4 linked regions of the Coturnix japonica genome follow. The protein of the gene in region 4 interacts with the protein of the main gene of each other region in a biochemical or structural test. Links are inferred from orthologs where the notes say so. Each region holds a gene or a part of one and is shown on either strand. Other genes may lie near its edges.

The links.
Region 1: the proteins of PELI1 (region 4) and UBE2N form a complex in vitro, tested with the Homo sapiens proteins (2 studies listed by BioGRID). The link is inferred for Coturnix japonica from reciprocal best matches to the Homo sapiens genes PELI1 and UBE2N.
Region 2: of the proteins of PELI1 (region 4) and IRAK4, one has a biochemical effect on the other in vitro, tested with the Homo sapiens proteins (4 studies listed by BioGRID and IntAct). The link is inferred for Coturnix japonica from reciprocal best matches to the Homo sapiens genes PELI1 and IRAK4.
Region 3: the proteins of PELI1 (region 4) and ubiquitin-conjugating enzyme E2 variant 1 form a complex in vitro, tested with the Homo sapiens proteins (3 studies listed by BioGRID). The link is inferred for Coturnix japonica from reciprocal best matches to the Homo sapiens genes PELI1 and UBE2V1.

What each region holds. Positions count from the first base shown.
Region 1 is NC_029516.1:40,853,819-40,858,371, forward strand, and holds part of UBE2N (ubiquitin-conjugating enzyme E2 N), read right to left. Parts: intron 1,605-4,553; coding exon 1,358-1,604; intron 1,190-1,357; coding exon 1,049-1,189; intron 436-1,048; coding exon 395-435; 3' UTR 1-394. UniProt on the Homo sapiens protein: The UBE2V1-UBE2N and UBE2V2-UBE2N heterodimers catalyze the synthesis of non-canonical 'Lys-63'-linked polyubiquitin chains. This type of polyubiquitination does not lead to protein degradation by the proteasome.
Region 2 is NC_029516.1:27,244,845-27,249,984, reverse strand, and holds the start of IRAK4 (interleukin-1 receptor-associated kinase 4), read right to left. Parts: upstream 3,581-5,140; coding exon 3,420-3,580; intron 2,321-3,419; coding exon 2,175-2,320; intron 1,880-2,174; coding exon 1,682-1,879; intron 560-1,681; coding exon 399-559; intron 1-398. Other genes in the region: PUS7L (pseudouridylate synthase 7 homolog-like protein), read left to right, coding at 3,579-3,759, 3,924-4,736.
Region 3 is NC_029535.1:12,296,433-12,301,449, forward strand, and holds the start of ubiquitin-conjugating enzyme E2 variant 1, read left to right. Parts: upstream 1-1,423; 5' UTR 1,424-1,533; coding exon 1,534-1,555; intron 1,556-5,017. UniProt on the Homo sapiens protein: Has no ubiquitin ligase activity on its own. The UBE2V1-UBE2N heterodimer catalyzes the synthesis of non-canonical poly-ubiquitin chains that are linked through Lys-63.
Region 4 is NC_029518.1:1,823,340-1,828,669, forward strand, and holds the start of PELI1 (E3 ubiquitin-protein ligase pellino homolog 1), read left to right. Parts: upstream 1-1,965; 5' UTR 1,966-2,175; intron 2,176-5,330. UniProt on the Homo sapiens protein: E3 ubiquitin ligase catalyzing the covalent attachment of ubiquitin moieties onto substrate proteins. Involved in the TLR and IL-1 signaling pathways via interaction with the complex containing IRAK kinases and TRAF6.

The sequences.
Region 1 (4,553 bases), on a different chromosome or scaffold from region 4:
GTTAGCTGCTTTTATCAATGCGATTAGCATCACCATAAAAAGGGAGGAGGAGCCCACAAAATTAAAACGAAAAGCCCCGCAGCTAACCCTGCCTACCTTCATTCACAGTGCTTATGCTTAAACCATGATGGGATTAAAAGCAGAGATGTGCTGCTGCTTTTAAACAATTTCACAACAATCCAGATGATACTTCTAGCCTCTGCTCATGCGTTACAATAGTGAATTAGGACAAGACACAGATTCGCTAATGTGCATTTAATCACCAAAAGACTGAAGATGTCTGGGCTTTTATTCTGTAATGTTTCTAAGACTGTGTCCATTAAATGCAAACAAAAAAAGGAAGAGGTCTTGGCAGAACAGGAGAAGTGATGCACACTTGATGTTCAAAGCACATTTAAATATTATTCATGGCATATAGCCTAGTCCATGCTCTGGCTGCAAAGAAAAAAAAACACATTTAAGAAAAAAAGGAAAGTATTTTTCAAGCTTTATTCAAGCTAATTGACTTTTTAATGTTACTTTTAAACTGTTGCAAAGACACAAAATGTATCAGTTGTGAGGCAAGTGTGACTTTAACCTCTTAATATACACAATACGTAATAGACAGAAACAGAGATCTGATGAAGCAGCACAAGCACAGCGAGGCCAGAAGTGACAGAATGAAATCATTCTTTCCACAGCTGAGACAGAAGCAGGTATGGAAGAGACGCCTTCTGGAGCTAAATAACCCATTCCTTAAACATCACAGGTAAAACACAGGTGTGAACATCTATTTTATCATATGCCCACACTGGACACCCTTGCAATTTAGGTACGTAAAAGCTCAAGAGAAAACCACTAAGTTTCCTCCTAGGCGGCTGCATTTACACACTTAAGTAGACCACTGCAGGCATATGCAGGAAACCTGGACAACAACCGCAAGCAGTAATTAATTACTTCTGCAAACTGCAGGCACAAAATAGAAGGCTGGGATTTCAATTCCCCAACCAATTAGCCATCGGCTCACCGTATTTCCTAAAAGCTGGAAGAAAAGCATCAGATACATCACCTGTTTCTATGGCTTGGGCTTCATTGGTCTTCCATTGCTCAGCTACATCGTTTGCTAGTGGATCATCTGGATTGGGAGCGCTTAACAAAGCCTGGATTGATAGCAGAACTGTACGAATCTGCAAAGCTGGGGACCATTTATCTAAAGAGACATTTATAGCAGTATGAAATACCACATTTGCAGTCTACTGAAATAACAAGTTTTCCGCTCCCACATTAAAGGGTAAAGATATCCATATAAACAAATCTCTTTTTAGAGAGAATCTCCGAGTTTCTGTATGTGATAAGAAGAAAATAAGGTTGCACTTACCTTTCAAAATATCTAAACATATTCTTCCCAGCTTGTCTACATTAGGGTGATAGATTTTGGTCATGAAACGTACTTTAGGAGCTGCCATTGGATATTCTTCTGGAAGGAAGAGTTCAAGTTTAAATGTCCCACCCTCAAAGGGGGAATCCTGTGGACCTGCAATGACCACGTGAAAATAACGTGCGTTGCTTTCATCTGGTTCTGCTTTTATCCCAGGGACTGGCTCTGCCAGCAAGCGCTGGGTTTCCTAGAAGGAGAAGGAGAGGCAATGGAATAAATACAAACTGTTTAACGTAAGCACACTGTATGAACTATTTTAAAGACAAGTCTTCATTATGAATTAACTACACCCACTGAAACTATGAAGTGAGCATCAAAGTCAAAGAACACAATGTGGTAAACTGGTAGAGATCTCCTTCCAAATCTCTCAGCTGCTACAACAACTTGTGCCTCCTCCTCAGCACAAGGTAATGGCCACCAATCCAGAGATTTAAGGACAGCTTTACTTCTGATTCAACTACTGCCAAACCAGCTTCTTCAGTATAAGCAGAAGCAATCTAAAGAACATCAGTGATAACAGCAGAAGCATTTCCCATTCTGCCTTAAAGAGAAGCCTAACAGTGACAAACAAAATGACCAACCACTCACAGAAAGCATTCAAGATTTACTCTAACGTGAGCACATTGATTTTAAAATGAATGTCTGCCTTGGAATCAGAATCAGCTCTGAAGAACTGAAAGTACTACTCAACCCCAGTATTAAAGACGTTGCTATATGTATAAATACCTAAAACATCTGTATGTGTGAACCACCTTTGCTCAAGCACATTCAGCCTATGTAATAAGCACACTTAAAGCTCCTCTAACAATCAGTAGGAGACAACAAGCTGTTCTGTACACGTTAGAATCAGGGAAGCCTGCTTTCCTACCTAGATTTGTGTTCTTTGTTGCTCTGCCTCCAGCAGTAACTCTGTGCCACGCTCCCCAAAGTGGCCACAGTGAGGAGCTGCCTGCGTTCTGGCCACCCATCCCACTAACGTGCTGAGCAGACCGAGCTCTGTACCCACTTCTTTCTCCACTACTGCCAGCCCTCACAAGTCCCGCAGGCACCATTGCACCCCAAAAAGAGGCCGATGTGGCAAGAGGACATCAGGCAGGGACAAGGAGTTCTGCAGAGACCCCATTTCCTCAGGTAATTTTAGCCCTGTTTCCTGCTTTTCCTCCAGCTTGTTTTCACTGCGTGCAGTTAATTTTATTACCGCCTTCCCCTGTTGACTTACACAAAGAGAATTTCTATTTCTGCCTTAGCAAGTGGTAACCTGTGGGTGTCATATTAATTTATTGCCCTAGTTTTATGGTGTATTTACTCAGTGTGTCTACAATAGCCGTAACATAAGCACAATAATTGTACGTGGCTTAAAGTCCTTCAAATATAACCCAGACTGTTACAATACACGTATTTTGTTAGAATAACTCAGGCAGCACTGAAGTGACTGTCATGACATGGTTAATATCTCACTTCAGCAACAGCAAATGAAATACCTGAAGCACTGAAACCCCAGTAATTAACACTACAATCCAAACATTTGTATCAAATGTATCAAGTTCCTACAGCTCATAATATTGATGTTATTATCTACATAAACACACGGCAATAAACTGATGTGATCCAACTTCTTGCTGGACTTATCCGCACAGGCAACAGCTGCCAGTACCACTTATGTACCACACTGTAAGGACATCCAAGGTGCTCTAAGCTTCCAACACTCACCCTTGCAAATATATTTCAAAGGATACAAATGAACTTGCAACACATACAAGATTTATGTTGCGTCCCCAGCCCCAGCTCTGTCCTGCTGACCCCCACACTGCCTCCCTAGTCACACCAGTGTGCTGACTGTACCCATACCACAGAGCCAATCCTAGCTTGAAACAACCCAGAATCAGCAGTTCCATGGCAGCAGCATCAGCATTTCTACCTGCCAGTGCATCCAAGGGAGCGGTGTCAGGCTGGGAGCTGCACATACTGCCACTAAAAGCCATTTGTCAGCAAACAATGGGTGAACCCACATACAAGAAAAAATGATTCTTTTGATAAGGTACAGCATCATACTGAGGGCTTTATCACTGCAGGAACGTCATTATGTTCTGACAGACCTTTATACCCTACGTTACACAGACACTGTTATCCTTCTATAAAATAACAGAAGGGATGAGAACCAAAAAAATCGTATAATGTTACATTGCCTGTTGGGCTCCTCAGAACCTGGGCTGGACATCTATGAACTGTGAGGGTGGTGAGATGCTGGAGCAGTTGCCCAGCAAGGCCGTGGATGCCCCCTCCCTGTAAGGATTCAAGGCCAGGCTGGATGGGGCTCTGAGCAACCTGGTCTAGAGGGAGGTGTCCCCACCCATAGCAGGGGGTTGGAACTACATGATCTTAATGGTCCCTTCCAACCCAAACTATTCTACGATTCTATGAAAAGGAGCAGAAAAGGGAAAACAAATCAAGAAGTTGTGTTTTAAGGCCACAGCACATAAAGATGATTAAACTTAAGCAGGACCAGTACTAAATACTGAGGCAGAATCAGAAACTCAGCTTCCACACTGTAAAGTCGTCTGAAGACCAGGCCAGCTGAAGACGTGCTGATCCTGAAATCCATTCCAGCTGCCATAAGTGGTATAAGCAGTAAGTTCCACTGGAGACACACAGCTGTTGTTACATGGGACAACACAGCACCACCTCAGGAAGCTCAACCTGCTTTAAGAATGTATATGTATTTATATATATGTATTTATAGGTATGTTGCACCCATTCCCCCTTCCCACCACCTCCAATACGGGCACCCACAAAAGAAGCCCATGGACGTGGACTCAATCTCCAAAAAGAAGCGTGTAATTTCCTTTAATACGTTAATCTAATTATCTGTTACCTTCCCCAGAGGACGGTTATCCACTGAAAAAGATCCAAATAAAAACCACAAGAAAAAAACCTTTCAATTTAATTTTTAACTCGCTACATTTAATTAGATTCATCTGGAAGCTCAAGTGTACATAACACTTCACTTTATAATACAGTAACTAAGTTTGTTTGCACAGGAATACTAAGTGCAATCTAAGTGGTAGCAGAATAGCACTTCACAGTGTTTCTTCCTAGCTCTCCGCTATCATAGTGAACTGAGTTTCACAGAACACAC
Region 2 (5,140 bases), on a different chromosome or scaffold from region 4:
TATTCACAGAAAACAACAATTAAAAGGACTAAAACTATATGATCATAACTATCTAGTTTATTTATCGTGTCCACCTGCCAATGCACTGTGCCACAGAAATTGGAAGGAAAACCTCTTCTGCCCTTCTTGTGTGCAGGGGGAAGAGGGGAACAAAGGGAGCATCCTGCTCCCCCCAAGGACTGTGTGAGCCACTGCAAGAACTATGGAAACACAAAGTTTCACCTCTGGCCACTGTAACAGCTCACACCACCCACAGGACAGCAGGATAATGTTCTGAACCCATCTCATATTTAACATGGTGATACTTTCTGGAGATGTACTACTCAACTCTTCATAGACAACCAAAGACACTATAAAGAACAAAGTTATTAATTGGAAAAATGTTGAGGACAACTCACAGCAGCAAGTTTCTTGACAGCCACATTTCTGCCGTTGATGTAGCCTTTGAACACAACGCCAAAGCCACCTTCCCCCAGCTTATTTCCTCCAGCCGATTCTGGTCGTTCATCAAAATTATTTGTAACATTTTCCAAGTCGTGAAACCAAAAATTGTGGAAATCTAGAAGACACAATTGACATTTAGCACAGAACCACATTTCTACTCAAATAACAAGCATATTAAATAGATCCTCGAATTCTAATCTATATCAGAATACTTTCTTTAGTCACCTTTTTCCCATACTTCTTAGTTATTTCTGATAACTAAGATCCGAATGCAAAGCACAAGGTGCTAAACAGTCTACAAAAGCAGTATTGAAAGAAGGCAATAGAATTACACATAGAACAAACATTACAATGTCACAGAGTCCTAGTAGTATAGAGGGGATAGAGTACTATAGAAAGGACCTCTGCAGATCATCTTGTTCAACCCCTCTGCTAAAGCACGTTCACTACAGTAAGCTGCATAGGAGAGCATCCAGATGGGCTGTGAACACCTCCTGAGAAGGAGACTCCACAACCTCTCCCCGGTTTTTCCTCAAGTTCAGATGGAACTTCATGTGTTCCTGTTTGCGTCCGCTGCCCCTTCTCTGCCTGTTAAGATTCTTCTTAGACTTCTCTTCTCCAGGCTGAACAGGTGACTCAACCTTTCCTCATAAGTCAGATGCTTCAGGTCTCTCATCATCTTTGTGGCCCTTTGCTAGACCATCTCTAGAAGTTCCCTGTCTTTCACGAACCAGGGAGCCCAGAACCGGACACAGTGTTCCAGATGCAGCATTACCAGGGCAGAGTAGAGGGGATCATTTCCCCTGACCTGCTGGCTACACTCTTTGTAACATGCCCCAACATACCATTGGCCTTCTTAGCCACAAGAACACACTGCTGGCTCATGGCCAACCTGCTGTCCACCAGAAATTGTTGGTCCTTCTCCGCAGAGCTGCTTTCCAGCCAGGCAGCCCCTGACCTGTACTGATGCATGTGGTTATTCCTCCCCAGGTGCAGGACTCTACACTTGCCCTTGCTAAACTTCACACCGTGGCACTAGTGTGACTACGTTATTTCTCATTTTTTGATGTCTTATTTGCACAGGTTGCGTTCAGTCTCACAATACAAGAACAAAAAGCACGAAGACGCAAATGCAGTCATTACTGTGCATTCCAGTGCGTTCCTAGGACTTATTTCACACAGGTGAAGGACAGATCAGCAAAAAACACTAACTCATTTTAACAAACTAAGCACCTACCTGTGTTACTAGGCTGTGCGCTGCTGTTCTCTTGACTTAAACATGGAGGGGCTGAAGGTTGCTCCTCTGTATTCTGAGACAACACAGGCTTTACAGATGTCACTTCTTTTTCCTGTATAGGCTGTTGTTTTTCATGTATAGGCAAAGTTTCCTGTGAAGAAAGAGGTAATGTAACTTCTTGTGCCATCCCGACAGCTTCTGAAAATGGAATTTAGAAAAAGCGTTAACCGTATTAGGAAACAGAAAACATAAATAGCATTACGTCAGTATTTACTAAGGTTATAATCTTGCACCACATGAAAATTGCAGGACTTTCATTTAAACTTGGAAAACTGTAGCCCACTTCCATAAAACTCCTATTGTAAATGATGGAAAATGTATCCTCTTTTGGTTATTTTCACCTAATCCTTTCTGACCGTCCAACTACTGTGAAGGTCACTGGCATCATACAGACAAGGGAGCACAGCACAGAATATACATGGATAACAGTTACCTGGAAGCAAAAGACTTGCTGGTGCTAGAAACTGGTTCCTAATCAGCAGATCCACAAGGTCACCGACTGTACAATTTGTTGTTCCCCAATCATAAAGCAACTCACATGTGGGACTCTTTCCCATTTGCACAAATGCTTCAAATCTCCTTAAAAAGAAAAATTAAAGCTAACTTTGAAAAGAAAAGTAACAAAAAAAGGAGCGTGATTAATGGTAAATAAAAATAAACCCAAAATCACTATATAATGAATTGTACTTCAGCAGTACAACAGAAGTACTGCTAAATACAGAATCACAGAATGACCCGGGTTGGAAGGGACCTCAAGGATCATGTAGTTCCAACCCCCCTGCCTGGCAGGGCCACCAAACATACACATTTACTAGATCAGGTTGCCCAGGGTCCCGTCCAACCTGGTCTTGAACACCTCCAAGGACGGGGCATCCACAACCTCCCAGGGCAGCCTGTTCCAGGGCCTAGCCGCTCTCCTAGTGAAGAACTTCCCCCTAACATACAACCTAAATCTTCCCTCTTTCAACTTAAAACCATACAGGCCTTATGAAAACACACATACAACCCCCTGTACACAAAATGACACCAAAGAAATGCAAACTTGGGTAAAAGGACACGTTCTACGTTTGTCCATGGCAAACAGTCTGTAGGGCTTATTCTGATTCAATCAGTTCTCTGTAGCTCTCACAGAACCATTTGAGTTGGAATGGACCCTTACAGGCCATCCATTCCAACTGCCCTGCCCTGAACAGGGACACCCACAGCCATATCAGGCTGCTCACACTAAATGTCTCCAAGGATGGGGCATCCACCATATCTCCGGGCCCCTGTTCCAGCCCCTGTAAACAGTTACTGCAAAAGACTTCTTCCTTATATCCAACCTAAATCTCCCCTCTTTAAGCATGAATCCATTTCCTCTTGTCCTATCACCACAGACCCTGCTGAAGAATCAGTCCCCTCCTTTCTCACAGCCCCTTCAGACACTGACAGGCCGCTCTCAGCTCTCCCCACAGCCTTCTCCTTTCCAGGCTGAACAGCCCCAGCCCTCTCAGACTAGCAGGAGAAGTGTCACTTGTCTCAAAAGCAAACTGGAGAGGAACTAGTTTGGGTTCCCTCAGGAAGCACTATGTGAGATACGTTCTGAGCAGTGCTGGACACACACACACACACGGAGGGCACATTGATGCCAATCCAACATCAGTGCACGCGGTTACATCACCCGACGGCCACACCAGACCTGATGTGCGCCTGGCTGTATCTGCTCTCGCCTGCCGGGTCGGTGATGGCCGCGGCCAGCCGCTTCCATCCCTCCTGCGGGTCGAGGAGGTCGGCCAGCTGCCTCAGCAGCCCGTAGCGCAGGCTGCGGACGTAGGTGGCGGTGGTGACCGGCTGGCTCATGGCGGGGCGGCCAGGAACCTCAAAGCCACCAGCTCTCGCCACTTTACCCGGACAGCCCCTCAGCACCTCCCCGTTCCGAGGCCGTGACGCCACCTCCGCCCGCACTACCAGCGCCCCCTCCCGCTTCCTGCGCCGTCCCGCAGCGCTCCACAGCCGGCAGGCGGGGCTGGGGGAGCTCGGTACGGCCGTGCCCCCTCTCTGATGGCCGGGGGCTGGGTACAAGCGGCGCCCCCTGGTGGTCGCGGTAGGGAGATGGTTGTCCCTCCATTTTCTGTTTTCCCCCTTTTTTAATGATCTTTATTAGTATTGTTATTAATTTATTATTTTTTTTCTCCTCTGGCAGCATCGGGCAGGGGAGCCATGTTGCTCTCCCTCAGTTACGTGACCGATCACATCGGCTTCCGCGGGACGATCAAGAAGACGCCCGCTGACTTCGTGGTGAAGGAACTGGAGCTGCCTCAGCGCCCCGCGGCACCCCGGCCCCGCAACCCAACGCAGTCCAACGCACCGCCGGGGGAACCGCCCGCTGCCTCCGCCACAGCCAGAGCCGGGGCTGGGAGCACGGTGACACACCATGAGCAGAGCCGCTGTGCTCTGAAATCCGGCCCGGAGGCAGCCGATGTGTTGGATTCCCTTTTGGGCAAGGCCGCGAGTGAGAGGCTGACTAAATTCGCTTGTGATCTGAAGGAGGCCTGGGACACGGAAGGGGGTTGTGATGGCGGAGCCGGGGAGTTCTCTCTGGGAGCCGTGGTGGACAAGGGAGATCGGGCCGATTTGCACGGTGCCATCAGGCAGAGATTCCCCTTTTTGGTCACTGTGACAAAGGGCAACGAGATGGTTGTGAAAGGAAACGCTGACTACAGAGAACTGTGTCAGCTCGTGACTGAAAAGGAAACGAGCGATTTCTTTAAGTTTTTGGATGCCAAGCTTGAAAATTCCACTTTTTCTTTTGAGCCCGATGGAAATAAGGAGCACAGAAAAGTAGTTCACCACTTCATCAATAAAAAATTTGGTAAAATTTTAGAAACAAAGTCTTTTACTGTGGCAGACGTCACGCAGAAGCCAAATATGTCAATCATGGTAAGGTTTAGAGGGAAAAATTGCTCCAGAAAGAGGCCTGCTGATGGTTTCCAGGTAAAACAAGATATTTATACAGGTAAACATTACATTTTTAGTGGGAATATTGGGTATTGTGGTATATCTGCAGTAATACTGACCATCAGAATCATTTTAGAATGGTCAGTATGGTCCAGTATATGGATTTAAGAAGCGTATTCTGATGTTGGGCAGCTTATAGTGAGTTCAGATTTGATTTATGATCTCATTTCGTAAAGGCGTTGGTTTCTGATCCACGGAACATTGCTAGCACTAAGTCAGGTTACTGGAACTGCATTGCATTTGATCAGGTGCTGCTCCAGAGGCCAGCAGGGGTTTTGATTGTTCTCACTTTTGTTTACTGTGTCTTTACCCTTTTCTTTCAATACTGGAAATGTCCCAATTCTCTTAGTTTTGTGGAGTGGGAGAGGAGACAGAACACTTCCTCTGTGGTTGTCATGCTGT
Region 3 (5,017 bases), on a different chromosome or scaffold from region 4:
CAGAACCAGCCCCTCTTAAGCTCCAGCGTGGGCCTGGGCTTCATTGTGACTGACACTTGCTGAGGCCACTTAGTTTCCCCCTGTCACTTCTCTAAAAGATGCGGGTGACCCTCTGCTCCCTGGGGCTCCCAGAACGGCAGCAGGAGGTGCAGAACAGCCTCCAGCAGCAGCAGCAAAACGCTGCCTTGATCCCGCCTGGAGCAGTTCTAAAATAGGAGGTTTGGGCTGTCCTGAGGTGCCCATACCTGTTATCCCCTCCCAAACCTGGTGCAGAGGGGAAGGGGGCTGCAACAGTGGGGTTGCACTGAGCACCCACCTTGCCCCAGAACTGCAGCAGTTCCAACGGGAGCTCCTGGCATCTGCACCCCCAGCTCCAGGTCAGCTTTGCCGAGCAGTTGTGCCACCCAGCTTCTGCCCTGCTCGTTTCCCGTGCTGCTCTCGGCTGCCTCTGAAATGCAGCGTTAGGCTTCAGCTGTAGTCTGACCAGCAGCAAGACTGGCATTGCTGTTTTTAAAGCAGCATCAGTGAATAGCTGGTAGAAATGGTGCTGTAGCTGTGCGCTGTGGGGTTGATACAGCAGGATGAGGGTTTGAATGGCAGTCATGAGCCTCTAAATCTTCTAATAATTTCTGTGAGATGTCCATGCGATGTCTCAGGACAATATCTGGGGATATGTAGTGCAAGACAAAGCAGAATTTATTAATTCATTTCCTCCCAGGTTTCTTTGTTTGTTTTTTACTGTACTGGCTAGACAGAGGCAAAGCAAAATGCTGCCGCTGAAGCACAGCCCTCTAGGTCCATCTGCTGTCAGGTCCCATCTGGCAGCGCCTGTTTTCGATTCCATTTCTGCATAGTCCCAACCTTCAGGAGCAAAGCGGGGACACCCGTGTGTGCTGTGTCTTTCCTGCTGCAGACGGGCGGGCATTGCGTGCTGCTGGCTGCTTCCTTCGGCTGCGCTCACTGTGGGTCTGCACAGAACACACAGCACGGATTGCTGCCAGTGCTTCACGGCAACGAGAGAATGGCAGCAAAGGAAAGGAAATGTTGCACCACTCTGGTACTTTCCTTAGCTGAAGACGTTTGGGAAGCAAATACATAAACAACACCAGATTATTACCAAGTGACTGGGTAATTTAAGAGCATTAGGAGTTAAATGCTGCCTGCGTTCCGACCATAATGAACGTGGTTTGGCCATTATTAATTGCACTGGAGTTTTATAGGACGTTAAATGTTTGAAAGCATGCCCGTGTTTCAGGCTTCCCTGGAGGATCCAGGGCTCTGCTGTCCCGGACACGAGCCGGCTGCCGCCCTCGGGGGGCACGAACAGCTCGAGCCCCCCCAGCCCAACAGAGAACGCCGCTAACCTCGATTGTGCCCGCCCGCGCGGCGAAGTTCGGGCGACTTCCGGCGTGCACCACAGAGCTCTCCTCTTTCTCGCCTCGTCTTTAGCGCGCCCGCCCGCCCCGCGAGGCCTCACTTCCCGCGTTGCGCTGACGCGGCGTTGGGGGGCGGGTCCGGCGGCAGCGGCGCAAGATGGCGGCCACCACGGGTGCGGGTGAGCGGGCGGCGGGGCCGGGCTGGGCCGGGGGCGCTGGGAGGGGCCGCCCCTCTCCGCGGGGCAGCGGGCGGCGGGGCCGGGCCGGGAGGCGGCGACAGAGCGGCCAGGGCTGCGGAGAAGGGAACGGAGCGAGGGGGCGGCGGCGGGGACTGGGCCGAGGGGCGCGGCGCGGTGCCCGGCCGGGGGGCGGGTGGGCTGGGTGGGCCGAGGGCCGAGGGCCGAGGGATGCGGCTGGGCGGGACTCGGGCACGGGAGCCGCGGAACGACCCGGGCGGAGGCACCGCCGAGCACAGGCCGCTCCCGGCCGCCCCCAGCCCGCAGTGAGTCCCGGCCCCGCCGCAGTGCTACGGGCTGCGGGCGGAACGCGGCGCTGGGCGGCGGCTGCCGGGGAGCACAGGCCCGAGGAGCCGCTTCCGAAGGGCTCAGGAAGTTGAACGGCGATTTCCTGCCTCGTTCTGCACCTGCTATGAATGGTTGAACGGCCCCCTATGGCTATCGTTCACGTTACACTACATAGCAGTAACCAGACCTCAGTGTATCTTTTCCTGCTGATCCCTTCTGGCTGACCTGTGCAGACCAAATAATGTGGTTTCATTCCTGTTTGCCAGTCTCACCTACCTGCTCTTGTAACCAGTGTCCAGTGTGCCCTGACAGCGCCGTGCTCAGATCGCATCCTCTGGTGATAAATGTGGGAACATCCAAGGGCTGCACTGGAGGTACAGCAGAAATATCTAGAGGTACCTTCCTTACAGATAGGTTCCTGCTGGTGGCTTTCCGGCCTTCAAGAATAAATGTCACAGTGCAGTTAATTAATTAATGCAGTTAATAAGTAGTTATCAAGTTCATAAGAAGGTTCTCTGCTTGGAAGCAGGTGGCTGTGAGCTGTGGAGCACCTGGGTAAAGCCTATGGACAGAGCACATTTCCACTACCACATTATCTCACTTCTCTGCTCCTGTAATCCTGTCGGTCTGCTCACTTTATTTTGTATGTGTCTGGAAGAGCAAGGCCAGTGACTGCTGCTTTTAAGCCAGTGCAGCTTCATGAGTTATTGTCTGTGTGGTCCAGGAGAGGGGCAGGAAGATGGAGATCCAAACTGCAGTGACTGAGTCTGGGGCCAGTCCTGCACAGCTCCTTTGTGCTGTTGGGATGAGCTGTGTGTCAGTAGCCATTGTCCATCAGCCACGCTGTGCCTTTGGATGGCTGCATTACCTCATATTCTCCTGAACCGTCCCTGGCCTTCAGTGTTGGAAGCAGTGCAGAGTCAGGGAGATGGCAGGCAGGTGCTCAGCTCCTTGCCTCTAAAACATGAGCATCAGACAAGCACTGCACTTAGCTGCTCTTGAGGTCCTGTTTGTTTTAGTGCTGCTGGCAAGAGGAAATAGTGCAAAACAGTATGTGTCAAAAAAAGCCATGCTGCTGAAACAGAACTTCTGCAGTAAGCCCCATGGTTGGGACTGAGGAACTTTTGCATACAGACCAGTGGTTTGCGCTGATGGGAGCGTTGTCCAGCCGTGAATCCCAGACTGCTGTACCTACCACCAACCTGTTCTGTCTGGGTGCACCAGTAAAGTATGGCTGGAGATTGTCCTTTTTGAAACAGAGAGCAATATAGTGTTCCTGACAGCACCAGTAGAATCTGGGGTTTCCTGTATAAAGAAACCTACAGCAATTCTTTTAAGATCTCCTGGCGAGTTGTCTTAGTTTCAGCTGGAACAGAATTGTTCCCTTCAGAATGTTGGGTATGATGCCATGTTTTGGTTCGAGGAGAAGAAAAACATTGATAGCACAGTGATGTTGATAATTGCTGCTAAGCAGTGCTGTGCAGAGCCAAGGCTCCAAGGAGCTGGGAGGGAACAGAATCAGGACAGCTGACTTACACCTGCCAAAGGGATATTCCATACCATACAACATCAAGCAGAAGGAGTTTAGAAGGGGCTGGGAGTTCATCACGCTCTCTTCTGCTGCTTGTCTTTTTCTCAGTAAATAGTTTTATCTTAACCCACAAGTTCTACTACATTTTCTCCTAATTTTCTCCCCCATCCTACTGGGGTGGAGGGAGGTGCTTAGCTGTCTGCTAAACTCCAACACTAGTGAAGAGCATTTTCAGTGCCCTTTGCTAAGCTGTTCTCTATGAAATATTTGTGCTTTAATCCTCAAGATTTCATTGTAGAAAGGAAAGAGATTCACTGACATTTTTTGTGGGGCCTTTATTTCTTCCTGCTCGTGCTGAGGAGGAGCATTCAGGAGCATCCACTCTCAGGAGTATTGCCCACTTCATTTCACTGCTCTCACTGTGCTGTTTGCACTGTGGCACTGTACGGTTATTCAGTTGTACAATCAATAGGTAAACAGAGGTTTAAACAGATGTTTCGTTAAGAAAGATTATCGTGATGGAAAGATAATCTATAATAAATGGAAATGCTCACCAATATTGAAGGCTTGCAGTAAACTCCACAAAGGAGCAATCTCCAGAGAAGGAGATCCTTCCTTAGTGGCAGTCAGCCCTTAAATGGGATCTAGGAGAGATGCAGCCAGGCTCCACAGGGACAAAAGGCGAATCTCAGAGTGCTTTAAGGGCGTTACAAACTCCAGCTGCATTTAACTATCTTCCAGGAATAATTCTGTTTCCCTGGTGCAGAACTGCAGTGTGTTCTGGCGGCCATAGGCTCCTGGTCCCAGTGTGACTGAGCTGGCCCAGCCTGTGGCTCACAGTCCAGCCAACAGCTCTGGTTCCTAACACTCATTGGTGCCATCCACGCCGCAGCACTGGAAGTTTTGGAAACAAAGGCTGAAGAGAATGTCACCTAGAACCCAGCAGCTCCTTAACTGCAACTTTAAGTTCAGCAAAATTCATGTCTTGACTTTCTGCAAAACTTCCCCTGTTATTCAGTGTTATTCTGAGATTTCCTGTAAAAATATTTAATGAACTGGTTACTGAATTACTGTCTGGATTTGAGGCTTCCTGTATGCAAATTTACTAAACATGAACTTCTTAGACACTGTCCAAACCTGTGTGGTTTGAATGTTTTCCTTACTAGTGCAGTTATGTGGCTCGGCTTTCATAGGTTTGTTCTTCTGAATGATAGTAAATATTCTCTTTTGCTCTGTAATGCTTCTCCTGTTGTGTTTCTGGGAGCATTTCTGCAAGATCAAGGAAACTGCAAGTGAAACCATTACCTGTGTGGAATTGTGTGTTTATGCCATAAACACTCCCACTGCACGGGAGTCTTCTTGAGTCATAGCAAAGGCTCTATGAGAATGCATAGCTGGAAGTATTTTTTTATTAATTTTTAATTACCTGTGACTTTACTGAGGTTTTCTTGTGTTACACAAAGAACTCTCAGGAAAACAGGTTGGTTTGGGAACTGCCTGGGAGACCTTCACTGCTGCACCGTGAGCACTGCGGGAGGTGATGGGGTGGAGCAGGGCATTCCCCTGCCCTGCCTGACACACAGTGT
Region 4 (5,330 bases):
TCCAGTGAAGCTCCCACTGATTTGTCCTTGCTGCCTTTGTATCACATCCGTTCTCCTCATTCCAGCCTCCTGCCATGACATCCCTTCAATTAATCATCTCCCCTTCCCAAGCTGTAAAGCATGGGTGAATATATCTAGCTGCCTGCCTTAGGAGGCTGATATGTGGATTAATTAATATTTCTGAAATGCCTCGAAAATTGCTGAGTGTTATTGCTACATAACAACTGTTGCTACGTAGGGAAAATCCCTGCAGCCAGATCCAGGCGTGGACACCACACCTATGTTTCCTGCCCTTGCCGAGGTCACAGCCTGGCTTTGCTATCAGCACAGAGCCATAAAAATCCCCATTTTGGCTTCCCCAGCACTTCACTTGCGCTGTTTCTGCAGCTTTTTGGAGTGCCCCATCGGATGTATCCATGTGCCCCATTCCAAAGCATCCCAGGTGGTGTTTTTGGTGGGCAGCTTGTCTTCCCTGGGCAACCAACCATACCCAAAGCAGGGCCAACACCCAGCCACACAGAGCTGTTTGTCTCCCATGGCAGAAATAGGGAGCAAGGGCGGGTCTGCCGTGCTTGGCAGGCCTGGATGCCACACCTCAGCATTCGAGTGACTCACAGGGCGCTCAACCAAGAGGCAGTTGAAATTCTCCTCCCCTTTTCTTGCAACCAGGCAACAAGCTTTTTAAAAAAACAGCGTGCTTTCTCCTAGCTTCCCTGCTGGGAATGTCTCATTTTCCGTGGCTGAGAGCCTTGCTGTAGTGGGAGTCAATTTGGTCATTGCACAGGGGAAGGGAGGTGAGTTTGGGTTCCATCAGTGGACTTTGTGGTCCATCATCAAGCCTCGAAGACAATGGATACATGGATTAATTAAGCATGTCCCGACTGGTTTTCTGGTCCTGAGGTCAGCTGGTAATGTACCAGTGCTGTTAAAGTTTTCTTTGACATATCAAAGCTGCTTCCTTCTAGAGGTCCCCAGCTCAGACATTCCCGGGCAATTGCTGGCCCAGGACAAAATAAACAAAGTTCCTAGCAGCTGTCATTTTATTGTCATAGAAGAAGCCAACATGACTTATGGCCATCTATCACCACGCCATTAGAGGCTTCTCCTTCCATGGAGGAACACTGTGTCTCCTTTGGGGCCATGCAAGAACTAACAGAGCCACCAGAGCCCCAGATGGTCAGGGCTAAGCATTTGCTAGGAGGGTGGGCTGCTGGATCATGGTACCAAGTCTGTGCTTTCACAGCCCTCTGATTCATTACAGGCTGCAATAAGCTGCAGTAGCTCGAGTTTGCAGGCATCAGCCTGAGACAGAGTGTTCTCCTTTGGGATATATTCAAGGCAAGGCTTTTTCCTCACCAGTGTCACGGGTACTTCAGGGAGACTAGCAAAAACCAAGGGGCTGCAGGAGGAGTTTTCCAGGGCGAGAGGACAAGGATGCAACAAATGAAGTTCAGAGATGAAAATGACACACAACAGAAGGAGGTACTTTCATCTTACAGGTGGAAGCAGCAGGGTTTGATGTCGGCTGCAATAATTTGGGAACAAGACATGAACTGAACTCCAAAAAGCAAAACAAAAGCCATTGGTAGCATCCAGAAACAGATCTCAAGGAAGAGAGGAGGTCATCGGCCAGCACTGTGTGCCGGTGTGCTCAACCCTTTCAGCAAGGAGCTCAGCTTTGACTCATGGTTGAAAGCATTTCCATGTGTGTGTCTGTGGGCTGACTCACAACTGGGGGATGGATCACGGTGCTCATTTTGTGTTGTGTTGTGCTCACCAGTGACAGTCACTTGGGCCTGAGTCACCACATCACCACCTGATTGGCCTGGATCATCTTAGAGATCTTTTCCAACCTTAATGATTCTACGAGCCCAGGTTTATATATATTGTATATCACACCTAAACCCGCCCCCACCTTAAGCTTCCCACTACAACTCCCAGCACGCCCCGGCCGTTCCCCCGCCCCCCGTCAGCTCCGCCCTCCGCCCTGTTGGTTGCGCGAGTTCTCGGCGGCATCGCGGCCAGTAGTGCGGGTGAGCGGCGGCTGGTGTGGGCGGCGTTGCCCGGCTGTGCTTTGCTCTCCGGCTGAGGAAGGCGGCCGGTCGGTCGCTGCTCGCTCCGTCTCTGCGGTCCCTCCGCCGCTTCAAGGAGCCGCGGGTTCCTCTCCTTCCTGCGGTAAGTCCCGCTCTCGCTGCGCCGCATCCCTCCTCCGCGCGGCTGGAGGGCGCAGCTCGGGGCCTGGCCCCCTTCCCCGCTTTGTGCTCTGGCTTCCATGGCTTGTTATGTTTGGTTTTGTTTGCTTTATTTTATTTTATTTTATTTTATTTTATTTTATTTTATTTTATTTTATTTTTCCCCTTTCCCTCATTAATTCCTTTTTTTCTCTTGTATTTTCCCCCCGTGCCTTTGTGCCGGTTGCTCGGCTTTCCGTGCGGTTTTGTTTCCTCCCCTGTGATGTCTCCGAGGGGATCGCCGTGCCTTTGTGCCGGAGCGGCAGGCAGCCAGCCATCCTCGGGAGGGGGACGGGTGTGTGTGTGGGGGGGGGGGGGGGAGGAGCGGAGATATTAAGAATAATACGCTTTAAAATCACGCTGTTTATGGACTCGGGAGGTTTTATCGAATCGAGGGGTTCGTGGTGATCCCTATTTCCCCGAGGGGAGGAAAGTGTGCGTGGAACTGGAGGCTGCGATGAGGCCCAGCACACAAAGGGCGCTGGGTGCGCTGCCTCCCGGCCCGGCGCTGCCCCCACCGCGCTGCGGGCTCCGTTGTTGAGCTGCCGAGATGAAAGCTTGCTATGGGAGCCTTCACGCCTGCCCTCCTCCCCCGTCGGCTCTTTGTGAGCAGCGCAACTTTCACCGCGTCGTTGAGCAATGCGGTTTCGGACAGAGCTAACTAAGAGCCGGGAGGTCGCGTGCTGCCTCCGGGCTGCATTGAAAAGGCAGTTGTTGTGTTTTCTACCCGACGCTTGTTTGTTCGTCGTGTTTTTGCTCCCTCTCCTCAAAAGCTGCTGTTGTCTGAGCTCTGCAAAACGCTGTTTCGTAGTTGGGCTGTAGCGCTCTCGTTTCTGGCTGTGCCTTTTAAAGGCCGCTCGTTTGTTTTCGTTGGGACTCCCGAGCCTTCGGAACGTGCTCGTCGCCGTGTAGAGTGGCTGGAATCATCGAGCCTCGGTTCCACATCCCGGGAGCGATGGCTTTATTTGTTCCATTTGAAATCTGCACGGGGGGAGGCCGTGGGGACAGAGGGCTGTTTCCAGTTTCTGTTGGGCAGCGTTTCATATTGCACAAAGAAGCAGCTCGATGACCTGTTGATGATGCATCTTTCATCGCTCTTTATGCTGAGAAGCGAAGCTGTGTTAGTGGAGGTGAGGGCTTTCCCGGATAGGTCGGCCGGGTTTTCATTCGCATGAGTGTTGCGGTCTGTGTGGCTTTATGTCTTAGGCCAGCAGTTTCAAAGCGAGTAGCATGGTGGCAAAGTTCACGAGTCTACACCGGACATCCCCTCCTGCTTTCCCCTACACCCCGCAGGAAAAGCCTGGGTGGTAGGAAACCGAGGCAGCCAGCTGGGAAGTCAGGCTCTTTTTGTGCCCTTTTCGTGCCACATAAGGGAAGTATCCTAACCGCTTCTGAAGTTCTTACCTATTTGTTGTGAATGGCCGGGCCGGGAGCTAAGGAACTGCTCTTTGTTATGGTTAGGCATCTGCAGCGTGCCTTAAGTTCACATGCCTTCAACTACCAGTATTTCAATTAAAACAAAGCTTAAATATTTGTGTCAGTGCAAAATCTGTGTTATAACCGTTGTGTGTTTTGGCGTTGGTTTATGCTAAGTAAAGAAAAGAGCGTTATTTCATTTTGGGATTTACGGCTGTAAATTTAGTGACTGTGTGGTTGTAGGTGCAAAGCAGAGCATCATCTGCTTGCAGCCAGTGATACTTAAACTCTTATTCATTTGTAAGGATATATTAAGGATAGGATATATATATATAAGAATATATTACAAGTATAATGTTGTATGTAATATCTTCTTAGACAGGATCTATGAAATACAGGAAAACAGGGAACCTGCAACTGTTTGTAGATCCTGATCCATGTTGTGAGCGAAAGAAAGAAGAAAATGGGTATTTCATGAGAGATGAAGTCATCTTTAAGGGCGTACTTGTAAGCTAAGTTGGGCAGTTGGTTTGGAGCTCTTGAAGGATGCTAATAATTGAAAGTACTTGTTGTAAGTCTGGTCACTGCGCATCTTGCTGATTAGGGCATAGAAGTTTTGACTGTAGGTGGCATTAAAAGGAAGTCCTCAGCTCTTTTGCTTCCAGACATTCATTCCTTAATCTTCAGATTCACAAGTGTGCTGACAAACTGTCAGAGGAAGTGACAGCAAAGAGATGGCGTAGGAAGTAGGTCAAGCTCTGCTGAATACTGCTGAGATAGTTTCAGTGGAAAAAAAATAAGCATGTCTACATCTGATCTAGTTTCTGTTTCCTTTCAATCTGCGGGTTACGAGAGTGGCCGGTATATCTTACCCTCCTACAGTGGTTTCCAGGTCCTACTGAAGAGAACATTGTCTCCCTAATGAGGTGCAGTTAGGCTGCCTGGATGGAAGGCCTTGTGGTGAGGAAGGCGAAACAGCAGTTTAGTTCTGGCTTTGTGCAGTGCTGGGTGCCAACAAATTGCCAGCTGGGCAAAGCTAAAGTGGTCTTTTGTTTTCCTGGAGACCTGGGGCAGTTTGTGGGGTGGATTTCCATTTGGGCTCCTTCACTCTGTGCTGCTGAGGTTCTGAGGTGGCAGTCTGGAGCAATAGGGAAGCATTATGGAGTGTTCTTTGTGGCCGTACTGTTTGCCAGTGGATGTTACAATTGTCGCAAGTACTTATAGTATTTCTTGTTCATGATGTTGTTTGAATGCCCCGTTACTGCTGACAATGTGATCTGCAGGAAAAATACCATTTTGCACTATGAGTGTGTTGGCCCAGGTAAGTGCATGATTTATTGGCTGCCTATGTCAGCCCTCTGTCACAACCTTCTTCTGCTGACCCTTGTCGTGCCACTTGGAGCCACAAATGTGCTTAAATATTGAAGTGACCTTTCTGCAACAACCTTGTAGTCATGAGTGAGTGTGGAAAGTATAGTAGTGTCTGCTTTGGCAAGCTGCTGAAGCTGTCTTTAGGTGTCTCTAAGGACAGTTCTGTTGATCTTATTTTTTGGTGCCCCATGGTGGATGTAGGTGGTCGTCTAGTTTCAGTAAAGGCCGTGTGGTGTTTCTAAATGATGTGAGCTCAAGTGTGAGGTAGTCAGCAGTTTGTTTGATTCAGACTGGTTGGAAGCATTTGGTTAA